7 linked regions of the Rattus norvegicus genome follow. The protein of the gene in region 2 purifies or fractionates together with the protein of the main gene of each other region. This does not show direct contact. Links are inferred from orthologs where the notes say so. Each region holds a gene or a part of one and is shown on either strand. Other genes may lie near its edges. The genes, in order: Ilf2, Dhx9, Nxf1, Ago2, Dicer1, Ddx5 and Hnrnpa1.

What was found.
Region 1: the proteins of Dhx9 (region 2) and Ilf2 fractionate together in Homo sapiens (co-fractionation; 5 studies listed by BioGRID and IntAct, with this or other methods). This does not show direct contact. The link is inferred for Rattus norvegicus from reciprocal best matches to the Homo sapiens genes DHX9 and ILF2.
Region 3: the proteins of Dhx9 (region 2) and Nxf1 purify together in Homo sapiens (co-immunoprecipitation; 4 studies listed by BioGRID and IntAct, with this or other methods). This does not show direct contact. The link is inferred for Rattus norvegicus from reciprocal best matches to the Homo sapiens genes DHX9 and NXF1.
Region 4: the proteins of Dhx9 (region 2) and Ago2 purify together in Homo sapiens (affinity purification with western blotting; 5 studies listed by BioGRID and IntAct, with this or other methods). This does not show direct contact. The link is inferred for Rattus norvegicus from reciprocal best matches to the Homo sapiens genes DHX9 and AGO2.
Region 5: the proteins of Dhx9 (region 2) and Dicer1 purify together in Homo sapiens (co-immunoprecipitation; 3 studies listed by BioGRID and IntAct, with this or other methods). This does not show direct contact. The link is inferred for Rattus norvegicus from reciprocal best matches to the Homo sapiens genes DHX9 and DICER1.
Region 6: the proteins of Dhx9 (region 2) and Ddx5 fractionate together in Homo sapiens (co-fractionation; 3 studies listed by BioGRID and IntAct, with this or other methods). This does not show direct contact. The link is inferred for Rattus norvegicus from reciprocal best matches to the Homo sapiens genes DHX9 and DDX5.
Region 7: the proteins of Dhx9 (region 2) and Hnrnpa1 purify together in Homo sapiens (affinity purification with mass spectrometry; 7 studies listed by BioGRID and IntAct, with this or other methods). This does not show direct contact. The link is inferred for Rattus norvegicus from reciprocal best matches to the Homo sapiens genes DHX9 and HNRNPA1.

What each region holds. Positions count from the first base shown.
Region 1 is NC_086020.1:178,255,543-178,259,726, reverse strand, and holds the start of Ilf2 (interleukin enhancer-binding factor 2), read right to left. Parts: upstream 2,801-4,184; 5' UTR 2,695-2,800; coding exon 2,690-2,694; intron 1,912-2,689; coding exon 1,852-1,911; intron 1,514-1,851; coding exon 1,471-1,513; intron 1-1,470. UniProt on the Homo sapiens protein: Chromatin-interacting protein that forms a stable heterodimer with interleukin enhancer-binding factor 3/ILF3 and plays a role in several biological processes including transcription, innate immunity or cell growth.
Region 2 is NC_086031.1:68,155,430-68,158,546, reverse strand, and holds part of Dhx9 (ATP-dependent RNA helicase A), read left to right. Parts: intron 1-122; coding exon 123-283; intron 284-859; coding exon 860-971; intron 972-1,181; coding exon 1,182-1,343; intron 1,344-1,449; coding exon 1,450-1,577; intron 1,578-2,501; coding exon 2,502-2,731; intron 2,732-2,822; coding exon 2,823-2,938; intron 2,939-3,117. UniProt on the Homo sapiens protein: Multifunctional ATP-dependent nucleic acid helicase that unwinds DNA and RNA in a 3' to 5' direction and that plays important roles in many processes, such as DNA replication, transcriptional activation, post-transcriptional RNA regulation, mRNA translation and RNA-mediated gene silencing.
Region 3 is NC_086019.1:215,091,063-215,094,562, forward strand, and holds part of Nxf1 (nuclear RNA export factor 1), read left to right. Parts: coding exon 1-12; intron 13-123; coding exon 124-212; intron 213-318; coding exon 319-426; intron 427-763; coding exon 764-873; intron 874-2,635; coding exon 2,636-2,672; intron 2,673-2,914; coding exon 2,915-2,983; intron 2,984-3,062; coding exon 3,063-3,118; intron 3,119-3,235; coding exon 3,236-3,343; intron 3,344-3,442; coding exon 3,443-3,500.
Region 4 is NC_086025.1:106,991,325-106,995,499, forward strand, and holds the start of Ago2 (protein argonaute-2), read right to left. Parts: upstream 2,801-4,175; 5' UTR 2,655-2,800; coding exon 2,633-2,654; intron 2,626-2,632; exon of another isoform or gene 1-2,625.
Region 5 is NC_086024.1:129,401,753-129,405,252, forward strand, and holds part of Dicer1 (endoribonuclease Dicer), read right to left. Parts: intron 3,439-3,500; coding exon 3,283-3,438; intron 1-3,282. UniProt on the Homo sapiens protein: Double-stranded RNA (dsRNA) endoribonuclease playing a central role in short dsRNA-mediated post-transcriptional gene silencing.
Region 6 is NC_086028.1:92,223,893-92,226,410, reverse strand, and holds the end of Ddx5 (probable ATP-dependent RNA helicase DDX5), read left to right. Parts: intron 1-826; exon of another isoform or gene 827-892; coding exon 893-1,117; intron 1,118-1,307; coding exon 1,308-1,714; 3' UTR 1,715-2,018; downstream 2,019-2,518. UniProt on the Homo sapiens protein: Involved in the alternative regulation of pre-mRNA splicing; its RNA helicase activity is necessary for increasing tau exon 10 inclusion and occurs in a RBM4-dependent manner. Binds to the tau pre-mRNA in the stem-loop region downstream of exon 10.
Region 7 is NC_086025.1:136,252,678-136,256,917, forward strand, and holds the start of Hnrnpa1 (heterogeneous nuclear ribonucleoprotein A1), read left to right. Parts: upstream 1-1,440; 5' UTR 1,441-1,481; coding exon 1,482-1,496; intron 1,497-1,540; exon of another isoform or gene 1,541-1,898; intron 1,899-2,038; coding exon 2,039-2,155; intron 2,156-2,411; coding exon 2,412-2,558; intron 2,559-2,729; coding exon 2,730-2,940; intron 2,941-3,026; coding exon 3,027-3,119; intron 3,120-3,206; coding exon 3,207-3,299; intron 3,300-3,446; coding exon 3,447-3,521; intron 3,522-3,724; coding exon 3,725-3,883; intron 3,884-4,240. UniProt on the Homo sapiens protein: Involved in the packaging of pre-mRNA into hnRNP particles, transport of poly(A) mRNA from the nucleus to the cytoplasm and modulation of splice site selection.

The sequences.
Region 1 (4,184 bases), on a different chromosome or scaffold from region 2:
AGGCCCTGGGTTCAGTCCCCAGCTCCGAAAAAAAAAAAAAAAGAGCTGCCCCTGATAAAAAAAAAAAAAAAGCCAGATGGCAATGGTGGCACACACTCAGGAGGCAGAGGCAAGTGGGTTTCTGAGTTCCAGGATAGCCAGGGCTACAGAGAAAAGCCCTGTTTAAAAATCCAAACATAAATGAAGAAAGAAAGAAACTAATTATAATCTACCATGTAGTATAATATACACATTGAGCACTCTGGAGGCAGAGGCAGGCAGATCTCTGAGTTCCAGGCCAGCCAAGGTTTTATACACACACACACACATACACACACACACACACACACACACACGCAATGTCTCAAAGTAAATAAATAAGTCCTAAAAATATTTTTTTTTAAAAAAAAGGTATTTTCTAGGGTTGGGGATTTAGCTCAGTGGTAAAGCGCTTGCCCAGCAAGCACAAGGCCCTGGGTTCGGTCCCCAGCTCCGAAAAAAAAGAAAAAAAAAAAAAAGTATTTTCTAGACAAATATTACAATCAAACTGTAAAGAAAGTATCTTCCCTGCCTTGCTTACACTCTTTTCTAAGTTTTGTTCTTATTGAGACGGTTCATTTGTAGCCCAGGCTGGCCCTGAACACTAACAATGGTCCTATTGCTGGGGTTTCCATTGCTGGTATCACAAAAGGACTTCATTCTCTTTAAGACTGGCTGGGCTGGTGAACTGGCTTGTTTTTAATATGTATTTATGTATATGCGAGTGCCACAGTGTGTGTATATGCATCCTGTGTGCAAGAGCCTGTGGAAGTCAACAGAGACGTAAGAGCCTTGGAAATCAGAGTTACAGACAGATGTGCACTATGTACGATGTAAGAACCGGGAAAAACTTGTGTCCTCTGCTAGAGCCATGTTAGACCTGTAGTTATAGCTCTAAGTAGATTGCAATATATAATAAATACAATAATAAAATAAAACCAGTTAATGGGGTATACATGTAGCATGTTCACATCTCTAGCACTCAAACTAAGTAAATAAAAACTTACAGCAGGGGGGCTGGAGAGATGGCTCAGTGGTTAGGAGCACTACTGCTCTTCCAGAGGTGCTGAGCTCAATTCCCAGCAACTACATGGTGGCTCACAACTGTCTGTAATGGGATCTGATGCCCTCTTCTGGTGTGTCTGAAGACGGCTACAGTGTACTTATATATAATAAATAAATAAATCTTAAAAAAAAAAAAAACTTACAGCAGATGAATGCCTGTAATTCTAGCATTCAGGAGGCTGAGGCAGGAAGATGATGAATTTGCAGTCAGCTTGGTATACATAGAGTTCCAGGCCAGCCAATCATACAGAAGACCCACTCTCAAAGAACAGATCCATTCTTGAATCCTACTCCAAACAGTATCTAACGTCATTAACAAGGATTCTGGGCTTCTACACCTGTAAGTGAGCAGTAGCCAGTCAAGTTCTCCAAAGCCAAAATACTCACCAAATAGAAATCAAAGGGGATGTGGGGCACAAAAGGCCTGAACCTGAAACATGAAAACAATCCAAAATTATTCAGGCAGAAAGCAAGCAAGAGAATTCTGTCTTAAGAATTCAGGCATTTCTGGGGTTGGGGATTTAGCTCAGTGGTAGAGCGCTTGCCTAGGAAGCGCAAGGCCCTGGGTTCCGGTCCCCAGCTCCGAAAAAAAAAAGAATTCAGGCATTTCTAAGCTGCATCATTCTTAGCAAAAAGCCAAATTCACTTTGTAGGACATGAGGAAAAGAAATGCTTCGAGTGGTTTTCACAAAATCAAACAGAACAATCTACTCCAAACTCCTATCTACTGAAACAAACCAAGGCAAAGACGTGAACAGCCACACTCACCCTCCTCCAGGACCTCCTCTGGAACCAAAGCGCCCACCACGACCACGTCCTCTGTCACCCCTAAAAGTACATACATTTTACTCTCATGTTGCTGAAAAAGGTTTCCATCACACCATCAATGTTATTTCAATGTGACTTACCCTGACCCCCCTCCAACTACTGAAGTCGACAGATATATCATGCTCACTTCTCCCCGATTCCAAATGATGTCCAGTCCCACTCTCATGACATCCTAATTCTGGACTTTTTTTTCTTCTGTTTTTGAAACGGAATCTCATGTATCTCCTGCATTACCTCCCCCCACCCCAAGACTGCATCCTGAGCCACCACACCCCACTTCTAATTCAGGATTTTATCAAAACTCACATCAGGAAAATACGAGTTTCAGAACCTGACATACATACCCCTACTAAGTAACCCACGATCCTGAGGCACACGGGTCGTAATATTCAGGGTAAGGTGACTTCTCATTTATTAATACAGCATACCAGTTACGAGACATGTCCAATTGGTCAAACACTAGGCACCAGAAAAATGTGCAGCGCTCCAGCCTGCTCACTGCGCACGGAGGGTGATCTTCCTGGTCCGTTAAGACCTCTCCTCCATCCCCCGAGACCCAGGAATCAACACAACTGCCCTGCTGGGGCCCGGCCCCCCTCCAGGCCCGATTCCCCGAGTCGGCCAGCCTCCTCCTACTCCACTCTCTCCGGCCCGGCTTTCCGCCGGCCGCCCAGATACAGGCCCTTCTTCCCCCGACTCCATTTCAGCCTGCTCCCCAACTCCAACCCCCCATCCCTCGAGGCTACGGCAGGAACTTTCAAGCACCCTGTCTACTTACCTCATGGCTCGCTTAATCCTGAACAATGGAGACCACTCAACCGCTCTTCGCTTGGAAGAATCAAGGTAACAGAGAAACGTCGGGTCGGCGTGTCCCAACAAACGCCTGCGCGATAGGCTCCCGCCTCACTCCGTCCCGTGCGTTTATTGGTTAACCCAGCAACCAATGGAAATGCTCTGTAAAGGAGTCAACCAATAAGAAGACATACCAGGGACAGAGGCAATTTCCCCCACTTACAGTAGAGGGCGTTCAGAATTTGAGGCTGTAAGCAGGTAAAGTCTTCTATGGTAATACAAGCATAGCCTACCAGTAGGTAGCAGAGTGGCGCAGCGGAAGCGTGCTGGGCCCATAACCCAGAGGTCGATGGATCGAAACCATCCTCTGCTATCGGAGACTTTGTTTTTCTTTTTACGGGTGAAAATACAATTAAATTTTTCCATAGCAAGAGATGTGGGGTTTTTTTTCCTTCTCCAACTTTTTTTTCCAGACAGCGTCTTGCTTTGTCACCCTAGTTTACATAATACTCGTTAATGTAGCCTGAGCTGTCATCAAACTCTTAGCAATCTCTGCCGTGTGCCGCCTCACTTGAAAACATAACTTTTACCTTACGGAAATATCAGAAATAGTTCCATTTCCCACCATTTTTTCCCTCAATATCATTACTGTTATATGATTCTTTTTTATTGAAAATTGTCATACAATTTTTCTTGATCATGTATTTCTCTTCCCCAGTTCCACCCAGATCCTCCCTCCCCACTTCCCTATGCTAGGTGATTCTGACAAGTATTGATGTATTATTTACTTTTGTAGGCATCTATTCCTTCTAAGTAACCTCATTAAAATAAGGAATACTTTATCAGGTCGGCAAGGTGAGTCGGCAGGTACAATCGCAACTACCTGAGTTCGACCTCTGGAGACTCAGTGATGGAAGGTGAGCCGCGATCTGCATTTTGTCCTCCGACCTCACTATGAATGCCGTGGGTGTGGTGACACCCACAAACACAACATAAATAAATGTAACGGAAAAAAATTTAAAGGATATTTTGGTAAACATGGTGGAGCATGTCTTTAATTCCCGCACCTGGGAGGCAGCGGCAGGAGAATCTCTGTGAGTTCAAGGTCAGACTATTCTAGGTAACCAGTCCATGCCAAGTAAGTCTACATAGGGAGATCCTGCCTCACAAAAACAGTATTTTATCATCTCAGAAAGATAACCATACTGGATTTCTACTATCGTGGGTTAGGTTTGCCTTTAGATTTTCTTTTTATTGGGGCTCGATCAGAGATGACTCAGCAGTTCTTTTTTTCGGAGCTGGGGACCGAACCCAGGGCTTTGCGCTTCGCTTCCTAGGCAAGCGCTCTACCACTGAGCTAAATCCCCAACCCTAAGTTCAGTCAATCTCTAAAGTCCTCTAGGGGATTGTATTCACAAGCACGTATACATATACACACATAACTTAACATAAAATAAATCCTTAAACCGGACCTTGTCGTG
Region 2 (3,117 bases):
CAGCTAGACTAGTTTTATAGTGAATAGGAAAAGTTGTAGACTAGGAAAGGGCTACTATATACACAGTTGTCTGTGCAAAGGTTTTTATTATCACCTTTGACTTTTCTACTTCTAAATTTTAGACTGGAGACCCACATGACACCAGAGATGTTTAGAACACCATTGCATGAAATTGCTCTGAGCATAAAACTTCTGCGCCTAGGAGGAATTGGCCAATTCCTTGCAAAGGCAATTGAACCTCCACCTTTGGATGCAGTAATTGAAGCAGAGCATACTCTTAGAGGTAAGTGATACTTTCTTTGTCTTTACCTACTTAACAAATCCTATTTAACAAGTCAGATATAGACTGGGGGTGGGAGATTAACATGTTAGGCTTTATGCAGCATGTATTTCTACAAGGAAATTGTGGGATGAAGGGGCATAAATGGATCTCATTAAATAAACATTTAAGGGAATAGAGAATCCACCAGAACATGAATTACTCCTTACCTATATTTAATATTTAAATATATGTCTTAGTGGTTTGGGTTGTTTTGTTCTAATCTCAAATTTGTTATAAAAGTGATGTAGCCTTGTGAAAAATAAGGGCATTGAGCTCAGATGGCCCTGCATTGAACTTGGAATCTGGAACTCACCTGATTCTGATTCTGATTCTTATGGGCTGTGTGTGTGTTTAATGCTGATGTTGCTACTATATCAGTGACTGTAGTCCCAATTTGCATCATAGGTCATACCTTTATAGCATCTTCTGTGTTGGCTATTCCAGTGTTTGGTCCAGACTTCATATTTAACTTGACGTAAAATTAAACACTAATACCCTGTTTATTGACATCACTCACAAGTATGTATTTTCCCATAGAACTTGATGCTTTAGATGCCAATGATGAGTTGACTCCTCTTGGACGAATCCTGGCTAAACTCCCCATTGAGCCTCGTTTTGGAAAAATGATGATAATGGGGTGTATTTTCTAGTAAGTTCATTGGTTTTTGTTACTCAGAATAAAATGGACTTAATAAAGGCAAAGGTGGGTTGGTGGTTAAAAAAAAACTTACAGTAAACCTTTATAGTATAAACTTTTATAGTAAATATTAGTTGTTATATCCTAGCTAACAGAGTATTCAGTCCACATTTGAAGGTCTTCTCACAGAAAGGCTTAACTGCTGTTGTGCTGTTGTTTCAGTGTGGGAGACGCTGTCTGTACCATCTCTGCTGCTACCTGCTTTCCAGAGCCCTTTATCAGTGAAGGGAAGCGCTTGGGGTACATACATCGGAATTTTGCTGGAAACAGATTTTCTGATCATGTGGCTCTTTTATCAGTATTCCAAGCCTGGGATGATGCTAGGTAGGAATTTAAAGGCAATTCCTGTGAGAATTTAGTGAGCTTGTCTGAATTTGTAACTTAGTTTGCTAAGCCTTTGAGAATGAATGCCTTTTCTGTTTTGTTTTAGGATGAGTGGAGAAGAAGCAGAAATACGGTTTTGTGAGCAGAAGAGACTAAATATGGCTACACTAAGAATGACTTGGGAAGCCAAAGTACAGCTTAAAGAGATACTGATTAACTCTGGCTTTCCAGAAGGTAAGCCCTCTTCTATTTATAAACTGGTTTTTGTGTCTCATTCTGTTAACTCTAGATCTTGGAGGTTAAAGGCAGAATAAAATCACTGAGAATTTAAGATAGACAGCCTGAATTAATTTGTGACATCCTTTCTCAGTAAAATAGAGAACAAAAAGCTCCTCCCCCCCAAAAAAAAGATAGTTTGTGAGCCATTGTGATAAACTACAGGTACATTGGCTGAAGAATATTTGCTTATAATTCTTAGCTATTTGAACATACTTAACCGGATATGTTAGTACCAGAAACTAAAATTTTTAAAGGTTACAAATTGAATTAGAGTAGTTTTTTTGTTTTGTTTGTGAACTGACAGATTTTAAAAAAAAAAATCTAAGGGGAAAAATCTGTATGTTCAGAATATTCTAATGATCTTTTTTTTTTAAAGATTTATTTATTTATTATATATAAGTACACTGTAGCTGTCCTCAGATACACCAGAAGAGGGCATCAGATCTCCTTACAGATGGTTGTGAGCCACCATGTGGTTGCTGGGAATTGAACTCATGACCTCTGGAAGAGCAGTCGGGTGCTCTTAACCGCTGAGCCATCTCTCCAGCCCTATTCTAATGATCTTAAGATGAAGCTATTATCCTGCTTTATTGCTAATAACAGCTTAAGTTATTTAGGTTTGTTCACATAGATCTAATATTGAGGCTTTAAGCATATTGGTGACAGGTTTTTAATTTGGAAATGGAAATATTGCTAAGGCGTATCTTGGATAAGACAGCCATCCTTTCAGTGACTTCTTGGATTGTCTTTTCATCTGCTCTGCTAGTAATAAGAGCAGCTGATAACCTTTGATTGTAAAGTTCTGAGAAAGTTATCAGAGGACTTTGAGTCATGCTATTATCTAATCTTTACAAACCATTTTTCTATTTTTTTTAACAGATTGTTTATTGACACAAGTGTTTACTAACACTGGACCAGATAATAATTTGGATGTTGTTATCTCTTTGCTGGCTTTTGGTGTGTACCCCAATGTATGCTATCATAAAGAGAAGAGAAAGATTCTTACCACTGAAGGTCGTAATGCACTTATCCACAAGTCTTCTGTGAACTGTCCTTTTAGCAGCCAAGACATGAAGTACCCATCTCCTTTCTTTGTTTTTGGTGAAAAGGTAAGAGGATTAGGGAAGTCTGAAAGTTCAGAGTTATAATAGGACTAATGACCCATCAGTGTGTGACATTTTACATTTTCTCCATCTACAGATTCGAACCCGAGCCATCTCTGCTAAAGGCATGACCTTAGTGACCCCTCTACAATTACTTCTCTTTGCCTCCAAGAAAGTCCAGTCTGATGGTCAGATCGTGTTTATAGATGACTGGTAGGGCCTTTCAGTTGTAATCTTCAAACTGAATTTTTAGAATAAAGATTTCTTAGAATAATGTGTTTAGTAATAATCCTTGGAGATCTTGCTAGTCTAGTATATGCAAGAGTTTCACTCTGAGGCCTGGTCATTTTTGAGGTGTGTTTATAAGGTATATGCTGCATGGTACTGTTAAT
Region 3 (3,500 bases), on a different chromosome or scaffold from region 2:
GCTCAGACCCAGGTATGACTGACAGCAATGATCCTGACTAAATGGAGAGGGGGACAATTGGTCTTTATAACACTGGTATGAGCAAGCCCTCTCAGACTTCCTTTTTTTTCCTGCTTGCTAAAGATTTGGTGGCCCAGAACATCGATGTTGTTCTAAACCGTAGAGGCTGTATGGCAGCCGCCCTGAGGATCATTGAAGAGAACATTCCTGAGGTGAAGCTTCTTTTTTTTGCATTAGAAAGCAGAGTGAGATGGGTAGGATAGGATGAGGGACAAATTTGCCTTGTGGTAACACATCTAAACTTTGTTCTATTCACAGCTATTGTCTTTGAACTTGAGTAACAACAGGCTGTACAAGCTTGATGACATGTCCAGCATTGTACAGAAGGCACCAAACTTAAAGATCCTGAATCTCTCTGGAAACGAAGTAAGACGGATCCCTAGTGGTACTTTGGTTTAATGGTTACTGGTTATGAATGGGTGGAGGCAGACTGTATGGGAGTTGGTTCTTCCCTTCCTCCCACTGTGAGTTCTTGGACTGGAACTTGGGTTGTGAGATGCTCACAAGGCAGGAGCTTCTGCCCACTGAGCCATCACACTGACCCTTGGCTGTATTTCTGTGGTGGTGGAGAGCGAGAACAGTTTGGCTGGCCATGGTGGGAAGCAAGAAAGAAAACTTAGGTTGTATTTGGAAACATGGGGATCCAGCTGCTATCCTTAGTAAAGTCCGTTTCCTGCCTCTTTTCTTCCCTCATCCTTCACAGTTGAAGTCCGAGTGGGAATTAGACAAGATAAAAGGGCTGAAGCTGGAAGAGCTGTGGCTTGACAGAAACCCCATGTGTGACACCTTCCTAGACCAGTCCACCTATATCAGGTCAGTTGTAGCCTCTGTCTCCCCTCCTGGGGACATTCACCCCCTGGGAGGCTGAGCTAATGCACCCTGACCAGTACCCGTCTACAGGAGAACATGCAGCCCTGAGCTGGAACCACCTGTCCTTTGGGAGGAGGATCCCGTACTCCTTTCTGCCTGTCAATGTCTCCTAGCTTTGTCCTAGATCTCCTCTCCTTTCTTCTCACCTGACTACTATATTCTGATTCTCTGGCCTTTCTCCTTCCTTCCTGAACACAGCCTTTTCTAGAATCTCCCTACCTGTTATTCCAGGAAGGATACCTCTTCTTTTCTGTTCTGATGTGGAGGTGTCTTATATATGTCCTACCTGTGTGTTTGTCTTCAGCCAAAAGCCTAGAGTACTCAGACTGAGAAAGCCCTCTCTTACTGAGATGGGCCTTCCTTCCTTTGCCCTTCGATGGTCCCTCTTGCCGTTGTACCAAGAGGGACTCTGTTTTCATGACACACTTAGCCAGGGCTGTTGCCTGGTCCTTCCTGCCCATGACGAGGTTGGTGCCTCTTGCAGGCTGGCACCATGCTAGTGGTCTCTCTTGCCTAGTGCTGTGAACTGGGCCCTTCCTGGAGAAGAAACCTGGGTTCCCTAAGATGTGACCAAAGCCAGGGACCCCGCCAGCAGGTGAGGGGATCCCAAGGCAAATGCTGGGCGTGGAGGCCATAGGGGCATCTGCTACCAAGGAGACAGAGAAATGACCCTGTCAGGGGCATGGCTCCTCCCTCACTCGCACACCTCACGTCACCCTGCTTGGCCCCGGAGATGGCTGGTTAGCCAGAGACGGGTAAGATTCCTCAGGGAAGGAACAACCTAAGACAGGCACAGTCGCATAGGGGCCATCAGGAGAAAACTTGGGGGCCAACTGAGGTGGGGCACAGACCCTCACCCCCCCAACTCGGCAGAGGCCTGAACCCTTCTGAGGGAGGTCTCCTGACCCCATGGCTGCTTTACCTCCCACGCCCAGCTCAGACCGGGACCCATGGAGCAGACAGAGACCTGGCCAACAGCAACTGCAAACCATTATAGGACTTATTCTCCATTTCTACCTTGGGACCACAGGAAAGGGGCAGCTGAAGGAAAGGGCTGTATCAGGAGGTCTTTCTTTCTACCATTCTTTTCTGAATGCCTCTGCCTTCAGGTCTGTCCCTGTTGCTTTACTTCCTCTTTGTCTCTCCATCTCTCTTTTGTCCTTGCCCTACCTTTCTCCATTTCTCTTCTTTCCCTTGGTCTCTTTTCTTTCCTCCTTTCTTCTTGAGCCCTGTCTTGTTCATCTCCTTGCCCCAACATCCCGTGCCATACTTGTGGTGTGTTCTGGTCTTGGCGAAGGCCAGACCTGGCAGAACTGGTGGATACCTGGTGAGGCAGCAGAGCCCCTGGGCTCCCACCCCATTCCCTCCTCCCGGGGCTGCACAGGTGAGTAGGTGGAAGGTAAGGGGGGAAAGGTGGGGAAGGCAGCCCTAGGCTTAAAGCCTGGGCTGAGAGTGTCCTTCTGTGGCACTTGGGATCAGGCAGTGAGACAACAAAGTCAGCCTTCAAGGCAATTCAGAAGGGGTGCCCCTGGTGAGGAGGGGAATGGGTGTTCTTGTCCCCAAGTTTAATTTAAGCTGGGGAGGAGGGGGCGATGTACAGGATGGGATGGGCTGTTCCTCGGGTTTTTGGTGTATTTGCTCCTAGAGCAGCCCAGGAGGCATGATGGCTCTGAAGCGTCTCTCACTTCTGTCCCGTTCTTGACAGCACCATTCGCGAACGATTTCCCAAGTTATTACGCCTGGTAAGTTTAATACTGTTCTCAGTAGCAAGGACAGCCAAGGTCTTGCCTCTATTTTGTGACCATCCATGTAGGTGTGGAGATTTCTTTGAGAATCTGCTAACAGTGGAAATCATCATCCTAGAAACGCTTGTTGACAAAGTTTATATAGGATCCCTGTATACTCTCCATGCTTTAGCTTTTCTGTATGCTTACAAATCCCGTCTTTGTTCTGTTTCTCATGTTACATTCACTTCTTTTTACAGGATGGCCATGAGCTACCCCCTCCAATTGCCTTTGATGTCGAAGCCCCTACTATGTTACCACCCTGCAAGGTCAGAATTGGGCTTAGAATTAGAGCTGTGTGTCGGATACATACTGGTCCTGTGACCCTAACATCTTGTTTGATTTCAGGGAAGCTATTTTGGAACAGAGAACCTAAAGAGTCTGGTCCTGCACTTCTTGCAGCAGTAAGTTTCCCAGGAGCCCTTAGTGCTGGGGATAATGGCTGGTCTGTGCGTACTCACTGCTATATGTGTCCTTTTGGTTCCAGACACAGAATTCAGACTCTTTAACTTTCCTTACAGGTACTATGCAATTTATGACTCAGGAGACCGCCAGGGTCTTCTGGATGCCTACCATGATGGCGCCTGTTGCTCGCTAAGCACTCCTTCCAACCCTCAGAACCCTGTCCGGTAAGTGTCACATGTCAGAACCTATCCAGAACCAAAAGATTATTTGGGAGATACAGGCCACTGATCTGACCACCACCATCATTCCCTCTTATTTTCCAGACACAACTTAGCCAAATACTTCAATGACAGCAGAAATGTGAAGAAGATTAAAGATACC
Region 4 (4,175 bases), on a different chromosome or scaffold from region 2:
TGCCTTTTCATGTTTGTAAAATCACTTCCCAGCAGAACCTTTTTAAAAGAAATCTTGTGATACATTTCCCACAATAACGATTCATAAAATTAAAAGAAGAGAGGAAAAAGAAACATTTTTATCATGCTGGAACCCCAGCCTCTTTAATTGTAAAGAATAAACCCAATGGTGTTGACAGAGAAAACTCAAAAGTTACAAAATGTTGCTTCTTAAGAATGTGTAAGTCAAAGCTTTTACATCTTTTCCCCTGAACACTTATTTAAATCCCTTCACAAGCTCCTGGGGGGAAGATTTCCCACAAGTGCTCAGCCACCCGGCTGTGCCTTCCAGCTGTTGGCAACGCTTTCCCTGCAGCACACAGGCCGCCAGGCAGCAGTGGTACCCTCAGACAAAACTGTGAATTGGGGAGGAGGGTGGGGGAAGGGGCTAACTGCTGCCATTGGAGACCACAGAGAGTAAAGCGATGATCAAAGACGCAGTCGTGATCCGCAGCTCTCAGTCGGGTTTCCACAGTCTCCGAGGTTATTTTGTAGCAAATATTCATAGGCTATAAAGCAGGAGCATCTCTTTGCAGGAGGCAAAGCTCCTCCCAGACAGTTTAAGATCCTTCGATGGGGGAAACCCCACCTAGAACCCACTATCTAGGAAATTTCAGGGTGGGAAGAGAATTTATCTACCCTAAACCACTAACCTTTTCCAATAGGAAAGAAAAATCTGTGAGGTTCTGAACCTTGGCCCCCAGTGCTACTAATCTCACACATGTAACAGTATTTGTAACAGACACAATGAGAACCCACTGTGGATTCTATTTTTAAAGTTAATTTACTAAGTATTTACTTCCCATCAAGCTCGGAAACAGCAAAACTTGGTAACTTTTCTTTAATTCAGATCCAATGGCCTTCCATTCTCCTAAACTTGGAAATATGGAGTCTCTTTGAAGGATGGAGGTGGAGGGGTTCCTTGTAAACAAAATTAAAAGCCTTTGTATGTGCTATGTGCAATAAAATGGAGCTGCACTCCAGCCTTGCAATTACAGCACACTGGCCCACCTGAAACTTGGGTTCCTTCCCAGCCTGCCATTAGCCAAGAATTACCCTACAGGCATCTCTTTTCTCACCCAAGGCTTTCTGGTTAGAGGGGACTGTCTCTCCCTTAGGCCACAATGCGGAGGCCCACGCAGCAGCAGCCATCTTCAAAGCTGCCAGTGACCAAAATGAACCGGTTGATCCAGGCTACCGCATTCTTTTTGAAAAGGCAACAAAGATGCCCTCGCGGAACACACAGTAGGCTCTTCCTTTCCACCCTACTTGGGAATTCACTGGTCTAATCCACACCAAACAAGTGCTTCCAACAGTGGGGTCAAGGTCAAAGGGACTGGGAAACCATTTCTATAGGAGTGCTCAAACAGGTTGTCCTAATGCAGGCTCCCGGATGTTAAAGGGTTCTTAAACCTCTCTGAGCCTCCACTGCCTGTCTCCAGAAAGGCCCACTGTGGCAAGCTGAAAGGATCAACACGCAAAATAGAGAAAAGCATGGCCTCGTCTCCAAGAAGATCACTAGAAACTGACACTCAGGAAAAACGTACATATTCGGAGTTAATGTTTGCTGGGTTCCTCCACAGCGCTGAGCTGGGGGGGAGGGGGGATTCCCAATCTGGCAGGAGGCTGCCCTGGTCATTTCGCAGGGGACCTCCAGACCCCAACATCTGCCTCCAGGACCCGGACACCTCCCAAGCGCAAGGTTAAAAGGGTCTTCAAATTACTGGGAAGCCCTTTAACGCATTTAGAAGTTGGTCAGTGGGCATTCGAGGAGCCCTATGACATCAGGAGAGGAGGCGCACTAGGCTCCGGAGCAAGCACCGTAGGGAACCCGGGAGGATCTGGGAGGCTTCCAGACCCCACAGTGAAGAAGTCTGGGGAGGCCCCAGGGCCGAACCACTAGGTCAGGTGGGCAGCAGGGAGGGCCCGCGGGCGCCAAGTACAGCCTGGCGGACAAAGGGGGGCAGGCTGAGCCCGAGCAAGCGGCGGGGCGGCCGGGAAATGGAGCCACGTGCCTGGCGGGAGAAGGCGAAAAAGCCTCCCAACACTTGTTTTCTCAACCCCGCGAGTAAACCGCCCTCCACTCTGCTCGAAAAGCGGGGTGGGAAAATACGTTCGTGTTTTTAAGTTTTCTGGAACTTTTCCAGAGAAACGGGCACGCTGGTGGGAAGGGGTGCCACGGCGGCCACCCGCTCCGCTAGGAAATCGCAGGGCGATTAGCACTTGAATGGGGAGGGCGGCTGCCCAGCGTGGAACTGCGTCCAAGCAGACGATCGCGGTCCCGGGGCCCCGGGGTTCGGTTCCCGACCCGTCCAGCTCCCCGCCCCAGGCCCCGCATGCTGGGCCCCACAGCTATGCGCTTGGGGACAGAGGGAGGAGCGCTGCGGGAGGACCGAGACCCGTTGCAGGCCGGGCCTGGGCCCCCAAACACGTCCGGGCCGCGCTGCTCCGGTGCACTGGGCCTCCCTGCCCCGAGGCCCTACCCGGCTGCCCCGAGGCTACGCCGCGGCCCCACAGGCTGGGCCGCCCTCGCCTGCCCCGCCCGCCAACCGCCAACCGCCGCGGCACGAGTGCCGGGCGCCGCGCGGACTCACCGGGGCCGGCTCCCGAGTACATGGTGGCGCTGCCGAGGGCCGCGGCCGAGGGCCGGCCGCGCGCTCCACGGGCCCCGACGCCGCGAGCCGCGAGGACCCGCCGGCCGCTCGATCCGCCCCGGCGCGGCCGCCTCGCAGAACAGGTTTACCCGACGCGGCCGGGGCGGCGGGCGGAGGCGGCGGGAGCGGAGGGGGAGGGGAGCGGGAGGAGGGAGGGGAGGAGGAGGGGCGAGAGGGACGACGAGGGAGGGGACCGCGGGGAGGGAGGGAAGGAGGGAACAGCGGGGAGGGAAGGAGGGAGGAGGCGGGGAGGAGGGAGGGGACGGCGGGGAGGAGGGAAGGTGGCAGGGAGAGAGGGGGCAGGGGAGGAGGCTGGAGGCGGCGCGCGCACGCGGGGCAGCGGGATGGGGGGAAATCGAGGTGGCGGCCCCCCGCGTGGTTGCCCTGAATGAGGGACCCCAGGAGCGACCCGGGGCACACGGGCGGGAGACCCTTCCTCCGGCCCAGCGAGGCGACGTCTGGCTTCCGGGCGCGGCCAGCCCAGCACTGCGACCGGAGTCGGAGTCCTCCCGCGCCGAGTGGCAGAGCCCCGGCCGCGTCCCGCCCCTGCACCTCGGCCTGGCTCTTTAAGTTATTAACGAAACGGCGACGGGAAGCTAGCTCCCCACCCAGAGCTTGAACTTGGACGCGGCCAGACCCGTGCGCGTGACCACACCGCCACCTCCCGGCGCGGCTCGACAACCTAGATAATCCTAATAAAGCACCAAGGAAGCACAGCAAGTTCAAGATGAATTTTATCAGCCGTCAGGGAGCAGATCTAGTCGGGGCTCCCCGCTTTCTGGGCTCAGAACCCCCAAGTTCTGCCCTGAGGCCTCCCAGACGAGCATGCTCTGTGCACATAGGCCCTTTCCCCACTTGTTGCTGGCACGTGCTCCCAGTTGTCTCTGGCACCTTTTCTATAGAAGAGGCAGTGTCAGCTCCCGCCTCACCCTGTACGCTTGACAATGCCTTCAAAGCCCATGCTGAGGACCCAAGCAAACAGGGTCCTACTGCAGGGACCCCAGCATCGGGGTAGGTTCCATAGCCTGTGCAGTGCTCAAAAAATAGTCCGAGGAGCAAGAAAAGCAGCGTTCCTTCCAATAAACATGGAAAGGAGGAGAAGGAGGAGGAGGAAGGAACTAGATAAAGAACTGTGGGGTTGCCATCCCAGCTACTCAGAAATCGAGGAAGGAGGATGACAATGCTAAATCCAGTCTAGGGTACATAGAAGAAAGCCTTGGGTACCCCTTCCTCCTAAGTGGTCGACACAAACGGGTAATTAATCATACCTAGCCCTTGTGGCCAGCACTTGTGGTCCCCACTGCTTTGGGATGGAGACAGGATTTGCTGAACTCAGGAGAGATTTTTGCTCAGAACCAGCCAGGGCAACAGAAAACTAATGGGAGGGGAGGGGCCGTGTTAGATTTTACTCAGCAGTAGAGCACTGTCTGAAGACCTATGAGACGTTGGGTTCCCTCCCAGCATTGACACCCCCCCACACAAA
Region 5 (3,500 bases), on a different chromosome or scaffold from region 2:
ACAGAGCTGCTGTTTTAAAGGGTTTGAAACTCAATAAAAGCAAGGGTCATGGATAATTTCAAATGACAACCACAAATACTAAAAGGCAACTTTAAAAATCATGGCCATTTGTTTTCAATTAACATAAAATAAGTTATTTAATCATATAAACAGAGTCAAACATGCTCTTTGAATGTTCATTTTCTATGTTATAAAATGACCTTTATCCAGTATAAATCTGTAGAGAAGAATTCGGAACAAGGATAAAGTTAAACTTGATGTCCGCCATGCAGAACGTCTGTGAGCAGCCTGACTCTGAGGACAGAAGAGCCCTCTGGTGCCCTCACAGGCCTGCCTTCCACTTGGCTATCGGCATGTGAAAATGTGGTTGCCTGACTTTCAAAGCAACAAAATGAAATCCCAGATGTAGAAAAAGCATTATCTTTTCAATTAAGAACATAATATAAAAGCAGACAAAATTATTTCTAAAAATCTTTACCACTAAAAACTGTAGGAGGGTTTTACAATAGTTTTTCTTTCTACTTCCACACTTCAAACCAAAAAAACATTGGCTACAATGTAAAATTAAACTGCTTTGCTTTAAAAATTAAAAATAAACATGATCACTGAAAGAAGGTACAAATTTGGGAAATTCTTCTTCCACCCTCTGTTCTGAGCCCTGGTACTCAGGATCCTAGCAGGCTGACAGAACAGAAGAAAATTTAGACTAACATGAAACACAATAATCTCAGTTCTGTCAAAAATCTTTGCTAATTCCAACTTTTCTGGCAAAAGCTTGTTTGTGACTGGCAACTTTAATAATGGGCTGTGATTCGCCAGTGAGGTCATCTTCTGCAATGCTAAGAAGTGCAATGTCTGCAGTGCCACCAAGACGACACATGAACGCACAGCACCACCACTCTACTCGGGCAGGCGCAGGACAGCAAGCTTCAACTTTGATTGAAACAACTTTCCAGAATATTGTGACAAAACCCTTTCAAACTATTTTCCATTTGATTGTAAAACAAGGCATACGTTTCATTTTAAACCAGACTCAAAAAAGATAGAAATTGGGTGTTTGTTTGAAAAAAGAATATCTGAGTCTAGCCTTGTAATCATATGCAATCAATAAAAAACAAACAAACAAACAAACAAAAAACCACCAAAAATCCATTTGAAAAATACAAAATACCAAACCATCAACTGGGGTCCAAAGGGTGGCTCAGATATTAATAATACCGACTGCTCTCGCCAGACCATCTGGGTTCAGTTCTCAGCACCAACATAGCAGTTTATAACCACCTCTAATGCCAGATCCAATGCCCTCTTCTGGCCTCTGCAGGTACCAGCATCTACAAGGTGCACAGACATGCAGGCAAAGCACCCAGCTAGTGGCAAATCTCAGAAAACTATATCCTGTCAAAACTTTTCAGTTTTTCCAAGATAACATGAGTGGCCTGGAACTCACTGTGTAAACCAGGCTGGCCTTGAACTCAGAGATCCACCTGCCTCTATATCCCAGGTGATGGGAAAAAAGCACGTGCCACCATATCAGCTTTATTATTTAGGCCTTAAGACAAAATGGCCAAATTTGAATTATTTAGCCTGAGGTTTTAAACTGCAAAGCTTCTGCATAAGTCATGTTTCTGTAACATGGTGCTGCCACCCAGTGATCCTGGGCATTTTATGTCCCTGGCACTGTGCAGACTCTTCATTTTCACAAGGAGGAGTTATACTTCAAAAATGCTGTCCAAAGCACAAGCATTTGAACAGAGTGCGCACGTGTATGTTGTATGTGTGCACGTGCGCTCTGTGTGCCTGTGTGTGTCTCAACAGTACTGTCTACCTGAGCTGCCCTCACTCTCTCTTCTAGGAGGCATTCAGAGACCCAGGTATGACCTAGGGGCAGACACTGGAACTGGAAGGACACAATCCACAACCACCCTGTGACTTGGCAGTAATTGAGTGTGTGGAAGGCAACGGATGAAAGCCTGCACCGTCTGGTAGTGCGTGCTAGGGACCGAAGTGCTGAGTCAGCAGAGAAGGACAGAAAGCAGAAGTGAACGCTGTAACCTGTAAGTCAGGAAAGCCCTGGTGCCCAGGTGTGTCACTGCTACCTAAAGGATCAAATATACAAACAGAAGATGAGGCCTGCTGGACTGTTTTTTGTAGAAAGTACAGACTTTTTCTAAGGTAAAGTCTACACTTTTCTAAGGTATGTGTGTGAATGTGTGTATAGACATATGCAAATGTGTGTATTATAAATTAATAACAGGGCTGGAGAGATGATTCAGTGGTTAAGAGCACTGACTGCTCTTCCAGAGGTCCTGAGTTCAAATCCCAGCAACTATGTGGTGGCTCACAACCATCTGCAAAGAGATCTGATGTCCTCTTCTGGTGTGTCTGAAGACAGCTACAGTGTACTTATATATAATACATAAATCTTTAAACAATAAAAAACTAAAGAATAAAAATAAATTAATTATCAAATATCATCCTCAGACTTAATTTGCATTAAAATATTCTTAATGATCTCCAACTAAACTGAATTTCTGTGGTAAGTCAAATCCTACTTGAGTTACAAATATACTCAGCACGCAGGCCTACATCAGTGCGGCCTCAGAGACCACATCACCTACAGACACTCACTGAGACAGAAACATCAGAAACTAAAAGAAATGGTGTTACCATTATCAGCCGGAAGTAAAAATGAAATGATGCAAGCCCATTTATCATCAATACAAAATAAATCTGGCAGGCGGCGATGCCTGAACAGATGGGTACTTCAAAGTACAAGACAACTCTCCCAGCTGCCCCCTGGTGGCTTCAGGACAAGACAAAGGAAGCTGTGGCTACTGAAGAGAAATCTCCAGTCTTTCCGGTACACTGCAGCCTTCCCACATGGCGACTGCTGTCTAGTTGGCAAGTGGACACAGTCCCAGGCTAGCACTGCCCAAGCTAGTCCGTGCTGAACTGAATTCTTCCAGACACAGCCTGGAGATCACAGGTCACTGCAAAGTCACTTCAACAGATGGCTAAGGACACACTGTAACGTGAGAGTGACGGAACCTGAGAGGGCTCTGACTTTATTTTTAAGTGGAAACATAACAGAAGTTTATGCCTCTGGAATGGGGGTGGGGGGGAGCAGAAATCACACTGCACGAAACCAACGCTGTTTCTGAAGCCGTAGATGGCCTGCCAACACACGAAATATCTACTACATGGTAAACACACAGCACAGAGAAAACAAGGACAAAATTCTTCAGTCAACAAAAACAAAAAAGCTGCATGCTGAGAGCTTACCATTTCATCCTTTTCCCATTTCTCTGAGTTACTTTTGTCTTGGTTTACCACATAACCAGGAGGAAGCCAATTCACAGGAGGATCAAATATCGACACCACCATGCGGCTGGGCAGTCCCTGCTTCTTGCCAAGGCGGTACAGGTTACAGTTGCTGACCTGGGCAGAAGAGGCATAAACGCTTACCCATAGACAGCCACGGCGGGAAATACAGCACGCCA
Region 6 (2,518 bases), on a different chromosome or scaffold from region 2:
TGATTGCCATGGTACAGCATTGTTTCAAACTGTTCACTGTGATCTGTGGGTCTTTGAGTTTCAGTGAGTTTGCTGAAATGTCGAAGAAATATTTCCAAACTTCAATGTTCAATGAAATTTTTGTTCAAGTATGAAATGGAGAGAGCAGCTTTAAAAGGTACTAAGCCTTTTACAAATTGGTGAGTACTGGCACATGAGACCTAGAGCAGGACCAACTTCTCACACATAGTCAGTGGGAAAAGAAAGTGCCTTGAAAGTTCCTCCCTCACCTACACAGTAGTCGTCATGTCGAGACCTGCCAGAGAGAGACACATTCTCAAGTGAATCCTGGCTTCTTGGAAGCGCTTGCCTAGACGAGACACAGTGCATTAAAACAACTTTTGGGGGACAGGTATGTTTTTCTTGCAGCTGCAGTTGTAAGGTCTTGGCAAGACAAGCAGTGTGGCCAGAATTGAGTGTAAAGCAAAGGACCTTCACCTTTTTGTTTAAAGGTCCTCAAAATGAGCACACGAAGAGATTGCTGTGAAACTTTTAATTGGCCCTACTGCGCAGAAGCATTCAGATGTCACTTGATGATCTGTAAGGGGACTGTCAATTTGGGAATGTGCTAAGGAGAACACACATTCCCTTGATAGGCTGTCAGTGGGTGGGTGTTAAGACAGCTGACATGTGCTTTTTTTTTTTTTCTTGTTTTTTTTTTTTGTTTTTCCTACCCTGCCCTTTTTCTACCTCAATGGTGTTCCTACAGGAAATGGATAACCATTTTAACTGTATTTTTTTCAGCCCGTACCTTCTTGGGAATACAATTGTCTAACTTTTTATTTTTGGTCTGGCTGTTGTGGTGTGCAAAACTCCGTACATTGCTATTTTGCCACACTGCAACACCTTACAGATGTGGAAGATGTGAAATTTGTCATCAATTATGACTACCCTAACTCCTCAGAGGATTATATTCATCGAATTGGAAGAACTGCTCGCAGTACCAAAACAGGCACAGCATACACTTTCTTTACTCCCAATAACATAAAGCAAGTGAGCGACCTCATCTCTGTGCTTCGGGAAGCCAATCAAGCAATTAATCCCAAGTTGCTTCAGTTGGTCGAAGACAGAGGTTCAGGTAAGAATCTTCCATGAGAGATGTTACGGGATTGTTGACAGTCACCTCTTGTCTACGTCTACGGAGTGGGATTTAAGGACTGAGTTAGTTTTTATTTTGAAACTAAGAAATCTTAAGACCCAGCATAAATAGAGCTATCTCACACTATGCCATGGGTAAGGTGATCAATTTCTACTTATTTTCTTGACAGGTCGTTCCAGGGGTAGAGGAGGCATGAAGGATGATCGTCGTGACAGATACTCTGCAGGGAAAAGGGGTGGATTTAATACCTTTAGAGACAGGGAAAACTATGACAGAGGCTACTCTAGTCTGCTTAAGAGAGATTTTGGGGCTAAAACTCAGAATGGTGTTTACAGTGCTGCAAATTACACCAATGGGAGCTTTGGAAGTAATTTTGTATCTGCTGGCATACAGACCAGTTTTAGGACTGGTAACCCAACAGGGACTTACCAGAACGGTTATGATAGCACTCAGCAATATGGAAGTAATGTTGCAAATATGCACAATGGGATGAACCAACAGGCATATGCATATCCTGCTACCGCAGCTGCTGCGCCTATGATTGGCTATCCAATGCCAACAGGGTATTCTCAATAAGACTTTAGAAGTATATGTAAATGTCTGTTTTTCATAATTGCTCTTTATATTGTGTGTTATCAGACAAGATAGTTATTTAAGAAACATGGGAAATGCAGAAATGACTGCAGTGCAGCAGTAATTATGGTGCACTTTTTTCGCTATTTAAGTTGGATATTTCTCTACATTCCTGAAACAATTTTTAGGTTTTTTTTGTACTAGAAAATGCAGGCAGTGTTTTCACAAAAGTAACTGTACAGTGATTTCAAATACAATAAATGAAGGCAATGCATGGCCTTCCAATAAAAGATATTTGAAGACTGAATTAAGTGGAAATTGTACTTTATTTTACATATATAATGTCATGTAAAACTTGGCTTAGATAGTATGTTTTTGGGGGGATTTTTGTTTTGGTGTTTATTTTTACACAACTAAAGTTGACTACTTCCCATTCCTTGGTTTAGGAGAGGAACTCAGAAGGCCCTTTGTATGGGAAGAATTTAGAAACAATGGATTTTATAATTCTAGATTAATTGCATAAGAAGCTTTGTCAGTAGTTTTCAGTATCAGGGAAGTAAGTCGTTTAATAGCCTATTTTCCTTAAGAGTGAGCTACAGGACAGGAACTGTATATAAGTAACATGGTGACTCTTGCAGAAGTTTTAAGTGGACATTTTGCTTTATCAAATTTATTCCATCTCTTGGCTTTATTGTCAACTGCCAAAATGCACAAAGCTGAAAGACTGTTAGCCCAAGAGCTGTGCACTGTGTCCTTAGTGCAGGTTACCTTGTATTTCTAGTCCTAGCAGACTTGCCAGAGTGCTTA
Region 7 (4,240 bases), on a different chromosome or scaffold from region 2:
GTGGTTAAGTCTATTTTTCTTGGATGTTTTTCATTAAAGTATTCATTTCACTGTAAAATTTTAATATTCTTCTTTCCAAAGAATAAAGGCACGTCCTCTAGAGTCTAAGTGAAGGGTGAAACTTTTTGTACCAAAAAGTACAAGAAAACATATGTTTTCCTTAAGGTAATATACGGAATGAATGCCTTAATTATAGGAGTCATTTTAGTTAAATGTTCGCCCCCACAAATGCAAGACTAAGCTTTATTTTTTGAGAGTAGTCTGTCCTACTGGCTCCAGGTTTGCTCTATATGAATTTAACCTACCGACTCCCGCGCTCCCCACTGGAGTCCAGCCTCTGCCTCTTGGGGAAGGCCGGCCTATGGCGCGCTTGGGGTTCATTGGCTCGGAGAGACGCAACTCAGGCAAGAAAAACCCGCCTCCCACATTCCGATGGCCCAAGGACCGGTTGGTAGGCAGCTATAGGAAGACCCAATTGGCCTATACACTCGCCAGTCAAACGCTTCGGCAACGCAGCTTCACCGAACCTGCAAGGATAAAACATCCCGCCCCAGTTGTCCTATTGGCTGGCCCGACCCGTCGCGGCCCCTTCACCGTCGTCTCCCCCCCCCCCCCAGTTCAGCGGTCCATTCATTTCGTACAATAACCGGTGCAATTGGAGCAGGTTCAAGATCTCGTACGGGTAGACAAGACTCTGCCACTTACCCGGGATCTAAAGTGATCACTCACACTAAGGCCTGCACGGTTCCTCTGTGGCAAAGCGGCACCACAAGCCACCGCTACCGCCGCCTTCTGCGCAATGCCAACCGCCCGCCAAAACGGATCCTTCCCTGCGCCTGCGCAACCAATCCCGGGCTTGGACCTTTTCTCCGCCCAAAACGCCTGCGCAAAACAGAACACAGGTCCCTCCACTACGCAGGCGCCTACGAACCTCGTATCCCTCTCCCGCCCGCCATTTCACGTGTTCCAGACAGCAGGCGGAACTTCGTACTGCGCCGGCGTAAACTCGCCATTTTTATTACACATGCGCTTTATAGCTGGGAAAAGTCGCGGCGAACTACTTTCTAACGTATCGTCCTTTGCCGAGTGAGTTTGTAACATTCGGGTGTGGGGAAGGTATAAAACACATTTAAAGACGTGAGTACATTCAAATATAAATTACTGGCTAGCTAGCCAATCAATGTGGTTAAGAATAAGATCCCTTGGGGCGTCAATGACTCAAAGGGGCGGGGACTGAGTAGAACGCCCAAACGGATGCCGTTTCTTAGCAGGGCGTTTTTACAGGCCAATGGTGGGAGGGAACAATTTCAAATCTCCAATAAGACTGAAGCAAGGGCGGAGTCTACCAATGCCGAAAGCGAGGAGGCGGGATAAAAGGGAGAGCAGAAGGTAGGCTGCCGGACACGTTCGCTATCTTATTCCTTTCTGCTCTTTGACGCTGGCGAGGAAGCATCGCTGAACGCTCTCATCATCCTACCGTCATGTCTAAGTCAGAGGTGAGTTGAGCGCGCTCTGCAGCTTCGCTTTCTTCCACACTTACTGAATATGACGGGATGTGACCTGTTTTGTCGCTGGCTCCCGTGCTTTCGGTGTTTGATCGATTACTGCTGAGGCCTACTTTAAAAAATGCAGGTCGCCATTTTGTCCTCATAGTCACCATGAGGCTGCGATCCGACAGCCATTAGTTTCTACGCACTGTTCCTTTTGGCAGAATTCTTACACTTAACGATCTGGGGTTTGTGGCCTTTTTTTCGTTTTTCCCTATCTGGTCTAATGATCTCTTGTTAAAGAGATACTAAGTCTTAATGGCGATGGACCAGACCAACCTGTGTCTTTTGTTGCGCCTGCGTATGAAGTAACAGGACGCATGCGCCGCGTGCAACTCGAGTCCCCAGTCAAGCCCAGGAAGGAGCACGTGGTCTTGTGCAGTAATAAAGAACAATAAAAAAGTGTGGCGTGTGTTGATGAATGGTGTTGATTCATTCGCCCAAGTTTCAGGCCCTCCACTAAGCCCCCTCTTTCCCCCACTTTATTTTAGTCCCCCAAGGAACCGGAACAGCTGCGGAAGCTCTTCATTGGAGGGCTGAGCTTCGAAACAACCGACGAGAGTCTGAGGAGCCATTTTGAGCAATGGGGAACACTCACCGACTGTGTGGTAAGATTTAAAAAAACAAAAGGAAGAGCTGCCTTATTTCTTCTGATTTAACCTTGACGCTTCTTAGCTAAATGTTTTGTGAAGTTAATTAATGGGATACTAAAAATCATCGTTGTGGAGCTTTGCTAACAAGATCTGTAAAAGAGCTTTTTATTTTCTGACTCTGGATGGAGTTTCATGTTTGCAGCGCTCTGACTAGGAATGACTTTTTGGCTTTGTGATCAGGCACTGTGTTGATTGAATTAACTCTAAACAGGTAATGAGAGATCCAAACACCAAAAGATCCAGAGGCTTTGGGTTTGTCACATATGCCACTGTGGAGGAAGTGGATGCTGCCATGAATGCAAGACCACACAAGGTGGATGGAAGAGTTGTGGAACCTAAGAGAGCTGTGTCAAGAGAAGTGAGTGGTTTTTCCTAATAGCTGGTTCTTTTTTAACCTGAGATTGTAATGGGGCAGATCTCAACTGGGAGATCCTCCCTCCTGAGTGAAATTAAAGGCATGTGCCACCACAGGTGTCAATCATTTAGGAATGTGCTGCTACTAAATAACTGGAGTCATTTTTCCTTTTAGGATTCTCAGAGACCAGGTGCCCACTTAACTGTGAAGAAGATCTTTGTTGGCGGTATTAAAGAAGACACTGAAGAACATCACCTACGAGATTATTTTGAGCAGTATGGGAAAATTGAAGTGATTGAAATTATGACTGACAGAGGCAGTGGAAAAAAGAGGGGATTTGCGTTTGTCACCTTTGATGACCATGACTCTGTGGATAAGATTGTTAGTAAGTATCAGAGGATTACATTTTCCTTTATGATTCTGGAGTTCACATGTTTTTTTAAAAGTCCTGAATTTAATTTTTCCTCTTAGTTCAGAAATACCATACTGTGAATGGCCACAACTGTGAAGTAAGAAAGGCTCTGTCGAAACAAGAGATGGCTAGTGCTTCATCCAGCCAGAGAGGTGTGTTTATTGCTTGGTTAGACTTGGGGTGAGGAGGACACTGTTAGTTATTACAGGTTAACCTAATGATCCAAAATTTCTTTTAAGGTCGAAGTGGTTCCGGAAACTTTGGTGGTGGTCGTGGAGGTGGTTTCGGTGGCAATGACAATTTTGGTCGAGGAGGGAACTTCAGTGGTCGTGGTGTGTATGGCTTTGTTTGGCTCCTTGTTGGTTTTAGAACTTATAACTAGTAATTGCTACCCTGTGTCCCCAGCACTTACAGGTTTTGATATTTGATAAGTATTCATTCACGTACAAAGCCTGGTTTAAAGCTTTGGTTTCTTCCAGGTGGCTTTGGTGGCAGCCGTGGTGGTGGTGGATATGGTGGCAGTGGGGATGGCTATAATGGATTTGGCAATGATGGTAAGTTTCTTAAGGAGTCTGTAAGGAGTGGTTTCTGGCGACCTCTACCTTTAGAATAGGCTACTAGAGACTAAACCTAGTGCATGACAAAGTTCAGTCAGCCCCGTAAAATGCATGCCCTGAGCAGCCTTTAGCTATTTAACTTGCGTAGATTTTTCTTGTTAAATACTTTTGTCTTATTGAGAAGACTTGTATTCTTGTAGGTGGTTATGGAGGAGGCGGCCCTGGTTACTCTGGAGGAAGCAGAGGCTATGGAAGTGGTGGACAGGGTTATGGAAACCAGGGCAGTGGCTATGGCGGGAGTGGCAGCTATGACAGCTATAACAACGGAGGAGGCGGAGGCGGCTTTGGCGGTGGTAGTGGTAGGTATCCAGTGACGCAGGTACTTGGTGCGGAGCTAGATGAGACTTCCAGGGTTTATGCCCGTCTCAGACTTCACGGCTGGCTCTTAGAGCATTGTAGGTACATTGCATGGTGCGTGCAAATAGGCTTGCTATGCTACCTCCTCCTGGCTTTAAGCTGGGGCCGCCTCCCCCAAAATGAGTAGGTGGATGAGTGGTTAGTGTCTTCCTTCCACATGAGGTAGTTAGAGACATAGCTGGATTGTCTACCTTCTGCTGGGACTTCAGGCATTTAGTTGATATATCCAAGAAATGTCTGTCTTGACCTAGAATATGTACACAAAGACCTTCGATTCTAACTTGCCACTGAGAGAAACT